3 linked regions of the Drosophila melanogaster genome follow. The protein of the gene in region 1 interacts with the protein of each later gene in a pairwise test. Each region holds a gene or a part of one and is shown on either strand. Other genes may lie near its edges. The genes, in order: CG4328, lbl and grh.

What was found.
Region 2: the proteins of CG4328 (region 1) and lbl interact in a two-hybrid assay, tested with the Drosophila melanogaster proteins (one large-scale study listed by BioGRID).
Region 3: the proteins of CG4328 (region 1) and grh interact in a two-hybrid assay, tested with the Drosophila melanogaster proteins (one large-scale study listed by BioGRID).

The regions. Positions count from the first base shown.
Region 1 is NT_037436.4:12,294,209-12,297,964, reverse strand, and holds the start of CG4328 (uncharacterized protein), read left to right. Parts: upstream 1-1,841; 5' UTR 1,842-2,094; coding exon 2,095-2,131; intron 2,132-3,756.
Region 2 is NT_033777.3:21,432,388-21,436,143, forward strand, and holds the start of lbl (ladybird late), read right to left. Parts: upstream 1,747-3,756; 5' UTR 1,581-1,746; coding exon 878-1,580; intron 1-877.
Region 3 is NT_033778.4:17,800,219-17,803,974, reverse strand, and holds the start of grh (grainy head), read right to left. Parts: upstream 1,730-3,756; 5' UTR 584-1,729; intron 1-583. UniProt on the Drosophila melanogaster protein: Transcription factor that binds a CNS-specific regulatory element of the Dopa decarboxylase (Ddc) gene. Also interacts with sequences adjacent to other transcription units, including Ultrabithorax (Ubx) and engrailed (en).

The sequences.
Region 1 (3,756 bases):
GATTTCGGGATGGATGGAGGAATAGATGGATGGATGCAGGGATGGAGGCGGTGGTGCCTCCAAAACCGCCGCCCTTGAGTTTCCATGTCTAGGCTCTGCGTAGACAAAGTGCCAAAAGTTTGGAAGCCTTTGCGAGATGAAGCTGAAGGGAGGAGAGAGAAATGTATATGAAAATTTCAAAATCACAACATCACAACAGAACTGCAACAATTACTCATCATCATCAGCTACAAATATAGATTTCTTAGAATATTGTTCAATAAATATTATTTATAAGATTTAACATAATACACATAGATATCGTTTAAGGTGCCAACTAAAAATATATAAGGTTAACAGTTAGTAAATGAACAAATTAAACAAAATAACAATTATTAATAATTACAAAATAAATTATTATGAATTACACAATACAGTTTAAATGATCTTACAATTTTTTATAAAAATGTATTTTTAAATCTTGCATTACTTAGCAATTGTTTTTGGCACTTAGTTAAACAAATGCCAACATTTATTGTCACTCCTTTATTAAGAAATTACATGTTTCCTACCTGATATAAAAGAAGCACAACAAAAGAAGTACCCATCGCAAAATCCCCCAGGATCAAGCATTTAATGTAGCTCCATTGTCCTTTAAATTCCCTGCACATCCCCGTGCTCCGTGTACTGATTATGAATCGCAAAGATTACCGCACATAACTATTATCATCGTCGGAGTTGGGAAAAGTGGGCTGGGAAAGCGAAAGATGGCTGGTTGGTTGCCAGTTAAATGGTTCGCCCGCACACTAATTGTGAGTAACACGTTCGCGTTTACGAAACTTTTCTGGGAATTTTCGTCGGAAAAGAGGCCAAGAGCCAGGAGTTTCGACCAGACAAGTCCTCATCTCGGCAACTGGGTACTGGGAACTCTGAACTGGAAGCTAGACATACAGTCAGCCGGCAAAGTGCTTAGACATTAAAGTTTTTGGCGCCCCGGTTTAATAGACCAGAAAATTCATTTTGGCCAGGTTTAAAGGGCCACCGGCCACCCTCATTAACAGCTAGCTCTTTGAGCAAAATTCTCCTGGACACTGGGCCGCAAACCTTAATTAAAGCAGCGGGACTGGTCTTTAAGCTTAGTCCTTTTTATAGCGTTCGAAAATCAATAAATTTAAAATGTACAAGCCACTGCGGGAAAAGGGAATAAAATCCTAGCCAGCTCACAAACACACACACACACGGTAAAAATAAAAATAAGAAAAGAAGGACAACAAAATTCCAGCCATTGAGGGAGAGTCCTGTTTTTTTTTGGGGGGGCGGGGATGTTGTTGCTGAGGCGACAAAGCAAGCAAGAAATCGCCGAGCCAAACATCCTTTTGTCAATACAAAATACGTACGTACAACAAAACAAATAAATGTGCCCACGAGCAAAGACAAAGACAAAAGTCAAAAGTGCAAAATGAAAAATCAAACAACAACAACAACAACAAAACCAGCAAAACACAAAAAGCCAAAACAACTCAGAAGCGCCACCCGGATTCAAAATCGGCATTAAAACGCATGAGATGAGATGAGATGGTATGATATGGGGGTTCCGATCGACGCATGCGCCAAAAGCTGGCGAATCTCACGGAAGCTGGGGAAAGGCAAATGGCTGGCTCTCAATGGCTTGCACGGGGATGGAGCCAAAAAGGATATGGGAGCACAGGATGTGCCATAAAATGGCGCACACGCACACACACACAAAGGCAAACAGTGGGCACTTCTCCTTCGGGTTGGAGAGAATTTCCTATCTCGGCAGCAGATGCTTGTGCATTTGGCCAAAGAAGAGCAAATGATTTTTAACAAATTTCATTAACATCAGAGGTCCGTAATCATTCAAGCATCGCGTTTCGTAACAGGGCCAGGTCAGAAGTCCGATACTGGCCGCCCCAAAACAACAGTTGCCAACTGCATTTCGAGTCCCCAAATGTGTCCTTAGGCGTCCTGAAAGCTGTGCTCACAAAATGTGCAAAGATACGTAGGAAAATCGCGTGAAAAGCCCTGAGAAAATTTCATAAATGTCTGTGAACGTGATTATATAGTTTTTCTATTCCCGAACTGAACGATTCCAAAATGATCGACGAACACCATCCCATGCAGATCGGAATGTGTAAGTATGGGCAAACCCGAGGAATATGAAGTCTGAATCTATTCCAATAACCGACGGCATTACAAGCCCAACATTCCCAATCCCGTCGGCATTTTTCTATCAGTTTATTAATTATGTTAAAAAGTGCTCATTAATTTATGGTATGTAAATAGCTTCAAGTAGAAGAGTGCATATATTTCATTCACTTTTTCTCTAGTTTAATCATAGTTTAAATATTAGCATCAAGTGATTAGCTCAAATCAAATACCTTTAGATAAGTGAATTAGGAATAAGCCACCATGTATCATGTGTTATATCGGTAATTGTGATATCACAATTGCACACTTTTCAAAGGTATAAAGTGGATTTTCGTTTTGGCCATTAGTGATTTTGATTTATAACAGTCAAAGAGATCAGCACATTTTATACAAATTTTATTCAGTTGAATTGGTTTTAAAAATACTAACTTAATAGCAGCATAAATAAGTTTTGCACATGAAATTATTAGAAACCAAAGATGAATTATTTGTGAAAATTTGCCATTTTCTTGCTAAATTCTACTTCGCACAAAGCAAATCCCAAGTTTAAACATTGCATCTCAACACTTTTGCTTCAATTTGCCTTCAGTGAATGCTATTTAGCACCCAGAGTGGCAAGTATGCATATGACCGACTGCACACACGTCCACTCGAATCCGACTGGCTGAAAGCCAATGAAAATTACAACATATTTTCCAGAGCAAAGCAAATTTTGACTTCTGTCAGAGATTAGGACAAAACAAAGCATTTGCGCTGCGATTGCTGGCACAACAAAACGGCAATGGCACCATAACTCTATTGTCTACTCAAATCCGATTAAATAAAGCGCTGTCAGTTGCTGCCGAGCGAACTGCTGGCAACTGACAGCGGATTCGGAGGCAGCACACAGCATCCTGGCAGCGCAGCCGACATCCTGGCAAGCATTTCCAAGGGTTTCCGCTTACCCACTCACTGTCGTCGACTGCCAACATATGCCGCCAGCAGCCAGCCGCCAGCCGCCGTAACCGAAATCCTGATCCCCTCCAGCCTCATCCTCATGCTTATTTGCTAAGCCCGAGCATATTTTCCGTAAGGGTGGAAATCCGCCAGCTAAATGCCCTCGGTTAGCCCCCGGATTCATTGAAATTCGTTTATAATCTACATAGTTATGAGCACTGCAAGGGGTGGCATTTGCAACCCGTCCCTCGATTTCCACTGCACATTAGAATCTAATTAGAGCGTGGGCAAGTGGAAGTGCTATCAATGTCGGCTTTACACTTGTCGTCCCAAAATCCTCGAGCTCTATTCTCCGACATGTCCGGCAAACATGTTGGTATATTTTCAAATGTCAAATGGCAATGACAGAGCACTAAAAGTGTAACAGGTGTGGTTGTTGAGCGGATTATTCCGCTGCACATCTTAGGAAATAGCTTCCCGCAGTTCCAAGTGTCACAAGTTAATGGGTATCGGGAATGGGGAGATCAGGACCTTGGAAATTGGGTTAAACACTGCTGGAGACTTCAGTTGCTATGAATAAGTAGCATATTGAAAAGTTTATAAAGCCAAAATACACCCAACGAACATAGCACACATGTCAGCAATATTTTGTTACACATAAATGAAGTTTAA
Region 2 (3,756 bases), on another chromosome or scaffold:
AAATACTCTTAGTTAGTTGTTTGTACAATAATTTGTATCAAGGTGATGTGTTTTCCAAACGAAGATATTATGAGGAATAGTTTTCCCAGTGACTCCCGGCAGTTTCTGTTTTTATTCCGAGTGTGGGATAAATCGGTTTGCGTCTGCGACTTAACGAGAAATCAACGCCGCTAAGCAAATTATGCCGAACGATACGCATGCGCCAAAGCCATCAGACATCAGCCATCAGCTGGAGTCTGAGTTCGAGTTGGAGCAGCAGCTCGCCGCAGCTAGAGCATCATCATATGACCGGGCTGGGGCCTTCGAGTGGATCTGGGTATGGGTATGGGACTGGGACTGGGTCTGGGTCTGGGAAAGGCAATTGCCATCAAAGGCGATGCCGAGCGAGCTGCCAGCCGGCTGGCCTGAAATTGATTTAGCCACCTCGGACGAGCAGGCTGACCTCACTACTGTTTTTACGCCTTAAGCAGAATCTCATCAAGACGTAATGACAACAATTGATCAATCGCTGGCCAGGCTAATGGTTATGATGGGTCTCGTTGGGAAATCAGTTTATATTAAAATGTAATTTGATTGCGGTTGTGCACACAGAGGTGAACGCGGAGTAAGTAATTCTACAGTTTGTGGATATTTTTATGTTGAAGATATTCCAATCATATATAACAAAAAGCTCATATACTCAGGGGTGTTGATAAAACTTGAGAAAAAGCTGATGAAATATCTATTATCTCTGCACTATAATTTTGTTTGTACTTTTTTACATATAGTAAATATGAAGAATATGATTTTTGGTTGTCCACTGGGTTCCGCAGTTTAAAAGCAAAGTCTTCTTCTGTTTGGATTTAGAGGAATATATTTTCTCTTGAAAACTACTCACCCTGCTCTTCGTCAAAGTTTTTGGTGGACAGCTGGAAGAGGGCATCCAAGGGAGTGTCTCCACTTGATTTGCTGGCCCCCTTTGGTTGTTCCTCGGGCGACTTCTTAGGAACCTCCATTCTGTCCTCTTGGGAACGTTTTTCCACTTTTTCCGCCTGGGTGGGACTGCAGCATTCGGTGCTGCCATTGCTGCTGCTTGATCGCTGGGAACGCTCTGAACTGCCGTCCTCGGAGGCAATGATCGCGGGATTCAGGGTCATCTGCCGGAGGAGTTGCGCCTGTGCCTGGAAGTGCTCCTGGAGCTGGCGCTGGTAGTCCCAGGCCAGTCGCTGCTCATAGCTGTGGAGCAAAGCGGGCGATAAAAATGTATGTAGTGCAGCCGGCGGAGGGCAATTCGGCACCAAGGGTATTTGCAATCTTTCGTTGATCAGAGCCAATGGAGCAGGTACTCCTGGTAAAGCATTGGGAATGGCAATTCTCTCCGGCTTCTTCTCCACACGATCCTCTTCATGCCCTCGCCCCAGGATATCGGCAATGGAAAAGCTCTTGACCCTGACGGGTGATGACTTTTGGCGGTCATGTTCCAGGCTAATAGGACTCCTCAAAAGCCGCAATCGTTTCATATTCAACGATCTCAGAGGCGGTGGACTGGGCGAACCCACCGAAACATCAGAGTTAGCGGGACTGGGAGTTCTTTGCGGCATCTCTAGGTGTATTTTCCTTTGGCCACTCAGCACATCCTGGCTGTATCCTTACGGCTTAGCTCCAAACTCTTTTCTACGGGCGATTAAAAACGCGTCGGCAAAACGCGCGGCTGTCACACGAAAAACGTCGGCACAACGTGCAACACAAACACCAACAACGAAAATGGCTCGTGGCCAGAATGCGATGCTAATGCTGCTCGGCTCTCTGTCTCTCTTTCTTGGCCAAGCTCTCTCAACTGCTTTTTGGGGCCTCCAAACTGGTTGGCACCCATGACGTCACGGACTCGCGCAGCTGCGCAGCTTGTCTAATTGGAAACGCCGCCTCGCTCTCGCCAAGGGGGCGTGCCAGCAGAAAAGAGAGAGATGGAGAGAGGGAGAGCTAACCAGAGGACCAATAGCAGTTGGTCGAGGGCCATACAGACCCCCTCACCCGACCAAAAGTCGCTGTCAACGTGCGAACGTCATTAATTTGTACAATTTGACATGCGCTCTCTTTCCTCCCTCTCTCTCTCTCTCTCATTCTCGCTCTCTCTCTGGGGCGGCACTATTTCCCTCTCTTTCCCGTCGCTTTCCAGGCGACTGACTGCGTTAATTATCGTAATTGTTGGCTCACCCGCTTTTTCGCAGCTCTCTTTTGGCCCACTCAATTGTCATCAATAATGATGTCTCGTTGTACCGTTGGCTTCGACTCCTCATCTATTTTCCACTGGAAAAACAAGCCTCTTCGAATCCGTGTTTCGAGACCTCTGATGCACTGGGAAAAACAGTTCCCCGAACTGACAATCCTTCGTTCAAGAACGTCTTTTTGAAAGAGGTTTATTTGTCATAAATAGATGTGCCTATGAAAAATATTATAGTAATGTAAAAATGTCTTTCTCCCTCAAACTTCCTCAACATAAATTAAAAAGCGAACGAATTCTGCACCTCAAAAGTAATAACCTATAAATGGCACAACATGACAGTTACTTTGCTCTTCACATTTATTACTTGTTAACTTGAGATCGTTGTTAGATCTAATAACTAGCTGCATCTTGTTAGTTAGTTAGTTTCTCTACACACAATTTATGATTATATTATTTTATATTTTCCCATTTATATTTCCATTTGTTTAAGTGCATTTTGCTGGCACACATTCGTTTGTCTTGCCACTTCCCTCGCTTCCCACTCCACAGCTCAACTCAATGCATTTCCAAATTGATTGCAACTTTGGTCCGCTCGTTGTATCACGTATGCGCCCTGTATGCGCCTCGCTTCGTTTGTTTGTCAGTGTCAGTTTTTTATTCAATTTCGCTCCGCTGTTTGTCCTGGTTTTCTTTTTTATTTCTCGCTTTTCCTTGAATTTTGCATGCAAATGTCTATTTAACTGCATTGCGCCCTTTGCCGGTGGGAATGTGACTGAAGAGTCGGCTAAGTGAAATGATGTAACTGGCGAGCCGTAATCGATAATGGGTTCTACACTGCCCTTTGAAAACGAGTATAATTGATTATTTCGAGATGGGAAAAGAAATCAGGGGAAGTGGCAATTTCAACAAATTTGTGTTTGTATCTGTTTATTAAAGCGCGGAGCATCAATTACCAATGATTATTGGGCTCATCAAGGGCTTACAACAAATTGGACTTTTACACTACATAGTATGGGCAAATTAGCTTTTAATGTTTAACGTATAAAATTACAAAATAATAACTTGATCCAGCAAAAGTACACAGGTACCCAGCTGACAAAATGAGTAGCACAGTATGTTAATATAAAATCCAGTTTATTCAGTCTCTTGAAAGGGTGTTGTTTAGATGTATTTTACCCGAACCCTACATCGCAATTTATGACGCTGAATTTGCATAAGGGCCCTTCTCCAATCCCTTCGACTGCCCCCTATTTTGGTGGCAAGATGGCCGCGATGTTTGATTAATGCCTACACTTGACTGACTAAAGTTGACGAGCCAGGGCATTCTCTCCTTTCGCTTGCCTTGGAAGTGAGAAATTGACGGGGCTTGGGAACATTCGCTATCGCTATTGCCTTCATATTCAAAATCAATTATAAAACGACTCTTAATTGGGCGCCTCAATAGACGAGACACGCCCTGTCAATCATAATTAGCCATCGCCCCTAGGAAGCGAACCACTCGAGCCGGCACTCAAATCCATTCCCATTCAACCGATCCGACACGCCTCTAATTC
Region 3 (3,756 bases), on another chromosome or scaffold:
GCCAGCAGGGTAATGAAATCGTTTAGTTTCAATACATTTGAAATCATTTAAAATGCCTAGCCGTATAGATATAATAAAACTTATTAAAAAAACATGCAGAATGCATTTTAATTTAAAACCGCACGAACTAAATGGATTTTATGCCTACATCTCCAGCAAAATTGTTTAAAAATATTTCTATGAGATTGTCGTTGTCAAATAATATCGAAATAATATCCAATTACCATTTTTCTATTAACTCCATCGAATCAACTTGACGTACTATGTATAAATCTAGCTAAAATATATCTTATAGTTTGGTAATACCATATGTTTTTTAAAAATATCAAGTTTTGAAAAATATTTATTTTTGAAAAGTTTCTACACCCTAGTAGTGCCCAAAAAATGCCCGCTTTTATTGCTCTCTTTATTGGGAATACCAGCTATTGTGATGGAATCTCCCGAAAAAAGGGATCTATAAGCCGAAAACCAAATGGTCAATAGGGTGCTATATTTCTGACGGTGTAATCCCTCCATGAACCGACCAGGGCTACATAGCCTGATGCGTTTATAATTACTTCTTGGTAGGCTAAGTACTACTCACTTTTGGGCCGGGGTGCCTTGAGCTCTTGGGATCAGGATGCGGATTTTGGCACTTGGTGAGGATCTATGGCACTCGAGCACGCTGGAGCAGTGGATCGGATCGGTGGAACTGGAGCTGGATCGTGGACTGGAGTCTGTTTGCTTTGGGAGTCTGCAACCTGGGAGTCTGGAGCTGTAACTGAAATGTGGCTGCTGCTGCTGCTGCTGCTGTTGTTGGTTGCTCCGTTGTTGCTGTTTTGCTGGTGGGTGCACCTTTCGCCACTCTTTGTGCTGTTTTAGTTGTTGTTGTTGTTGTTGTGCGTCTGGGGGCTTTTAGCCTGGCTCTCTGGGCCTTTGGCTTACACAATGCTCTCGGCTGGCTGCTTTTGGCCGCTTCTAATGTGCCACTCTTTGTGGTATGTGGAGCTGTTGTTGTTTCGTTCGCTTGGTGCTGCCTTTGTTGCTGGCGGTTTGTGCATTTTGGCCTAACATTTGATGTTGCTGCTGCTCATATTGCTGCTATTGCTACTGGAGGGCGCAAAAGTTGAGGGGGCGGGTCGGTTCGGGGGCGTTGCGCCTGGCATTTGCGTTTTCAAGCCAATTTGTTGTTGTTTTTTCTATTTTTCTATGAGTATTTTCACTATTTTTTACGCGCTTTCCGCACTAGCATTTGTTATTGCTGCTGGTTCTGGCTGCTGTTATTAATCACTATTTTTATTTTGCATTTTATTATTCGCTGCTCAGCTTTGATGGCGTCTCATTCCAGCTCGCAAGCGCACACACACAGGCACACTTTAAGCTCACGCTCTCCGAGAGACATGCACACGTACACACACACAGATACTCTCGCACTCAACACACACGCACACACACACGAGGTTTTTTTTCGCTTTTTCAGCCTTCTCTTCCTCTTCGTGGCTGAAATTCGTGTGTGTGTTTTATTTAATTTCGAAAAAGTTTAAGCGCGACTTTTTGCTGTTTGTTTGGCGTAGAAACTTTTGGATTTTTCGCAAATATCGCGACACACACGCGCACTCACAGGTAATTTCGATTTGAAACGATTAGTCGGATTTGAAACTATATATTTTCGGTGTATTAACTTGCTGACTTTCCGTGTGCGCGGAAAACTTGTCGTCGCTGTCGCTGGATCTCGGCTCTTGGCTATAATGCCCAAAGAGTCAATTGGAGATTGTTCAACTGTTGAATGTGCTGCTGCCGCCGCTGCTGCCACCTCTGCCGACGTCGTCGTGCAGTTGTATTGGTGGCAAGGTGATGTCTGTGTTCGCGGCGCTGGTTAGAGAGCGCTCGATTATTATTGCTTTTTATGGTTTCATCTCTTTCGTAACTGATATTGAGCGAACGCGGCAGCGACGCCGGCAGCGCAGCGCCACTCAAATTCATTCGAATCGATGATGTTGTCTCTACACTCCCAAACACCCATACAAGTGCGATCTAAAACACAGGTAGCCCAGTGCTTCCATCTGTGTGTGTGTGTGTGGGTGCACCTGCAGAGGCCGAAACGCAGGCAGGTACAAAAGACTTAGGCAACGAACCTTCCACTTCAGCATGCACTTGCGGCGAAGGGAGATGGCAGATCAAAAGAGAGAGAAAGAGAGAGGGCAAGAAAGAGAGCCACAGCCACCCTCGACACGGGCAAACCGCTCCTGCATTTCGTATCTCCCGGACTTTGCGTTTATTTCTGTGCTGCGGCATTGCATTCATCGTCGAAAATTCGAATTCGCTGCTCGGTTCACTCTACTTCGCTTTCGAACTCGCCGCCTTGTTGTTCTGTTTTTGTTGTTGTCATTCGGCTTGTAAACCGCGTGAAAGTGGTAGTGCAATCGGGCATCAGGTAGAGAAACAAACACACACAACAGCGGGAGAGAGGTGGAGAGAAAGACCGAGATCACCGCATGCCAAGAGAAGTCCCTGCAAAAAATTACTGGATACAAAGATGCACTTTCTGAAAACTATTCCGCGGTTAAGCAGTTCAGATAATTAATATAGTTCAACTCTTAATTCTTATATAAAATACTGTTGATAGGTTTCCTATACACAAGCTAAATCACTAAAGCACTTTGTATGATTAAATATTAAAAAAATTTACGAATATTGCATATATTTAACATAAAATCAAATAAATCAACTCGAATTGTTAGCACTGTGAAATGAAGGATTTTTTTCTCCGTGTGGCATACATACGTAAAATAGTTGTGCATGTACCACAATCGAAAACGCCAAGTAGCTGCCGTGCCGCCGCAGCCTCCGCCGCTCTCTGTTCCGTTCTCTCGGCCTGGCTTTCGGTTAACCTCAGTCGGGCTCCTACAACCTCACCTCGCCAGGCGGCGCGGCAATCAGCGCTGTGTCGTGTGGATCGGCGGACGAACCGACGGACGGTGCTTGTGTGCTTTCCGCCATGGTAAAGGGTGACTCCCCCCAGCTTCCTTTCCTCCGAGCTCCCCCCACTTGGATCCCGCACTCACCAATTCACGTTGTTTGTCTTTTGGCGCTGCGCACGCGTGGAACTGTGGTTAAGAACGTAAAGCAGCGGGCGCTAGTTTTCACTGAAGCACTAGACATTCTACGCAATGTAAAATATTTATGTAAAATGCAATTTTACAGTAAATATTTAAAAAGTACATTCATGATGATAAGTAACAATAAATAAAGATAAAATTAAAAATATTTAATGTAATATGTTGAGTTCCAGGAGCCCAATTACAAACACTTGCATCTCAAGTTTGAATTTGAGTTTTATTTTCATTTCGGTTTATTGTTGCAATATATTAAATGTTTAAAACTAAATTTAGGCTTAGTTTAATCCATTTTTTATTTATTGATTTTGCCGTTTTTGCGTTTACACATTAGTTGATTTTCATGTAATAAATTTAATTTGTGGTTTTTAACTGGTCGAAACATTTCACTAATGCTTGATTACGTTTTTGTACATATACCGCTAAGTAGTATATATATGTATGCATGTATCGGTGTGTGTGTTTTGTGTGCGAGTGTGGCGGTGTATATAACTAAAAACAAACAACAATCGCATTAAATGTACTTATATATTTGGTTTTTTTCTTCAAAAAGTCTTATATCTGTCCGTTATGCAAAAGTAAGAAACCGAAGAGAAGCATTCACAAACAAACATTCCATCCCTCCGCGCGTCCCTTTGTCCAGGACATTTTTGTCTAACCT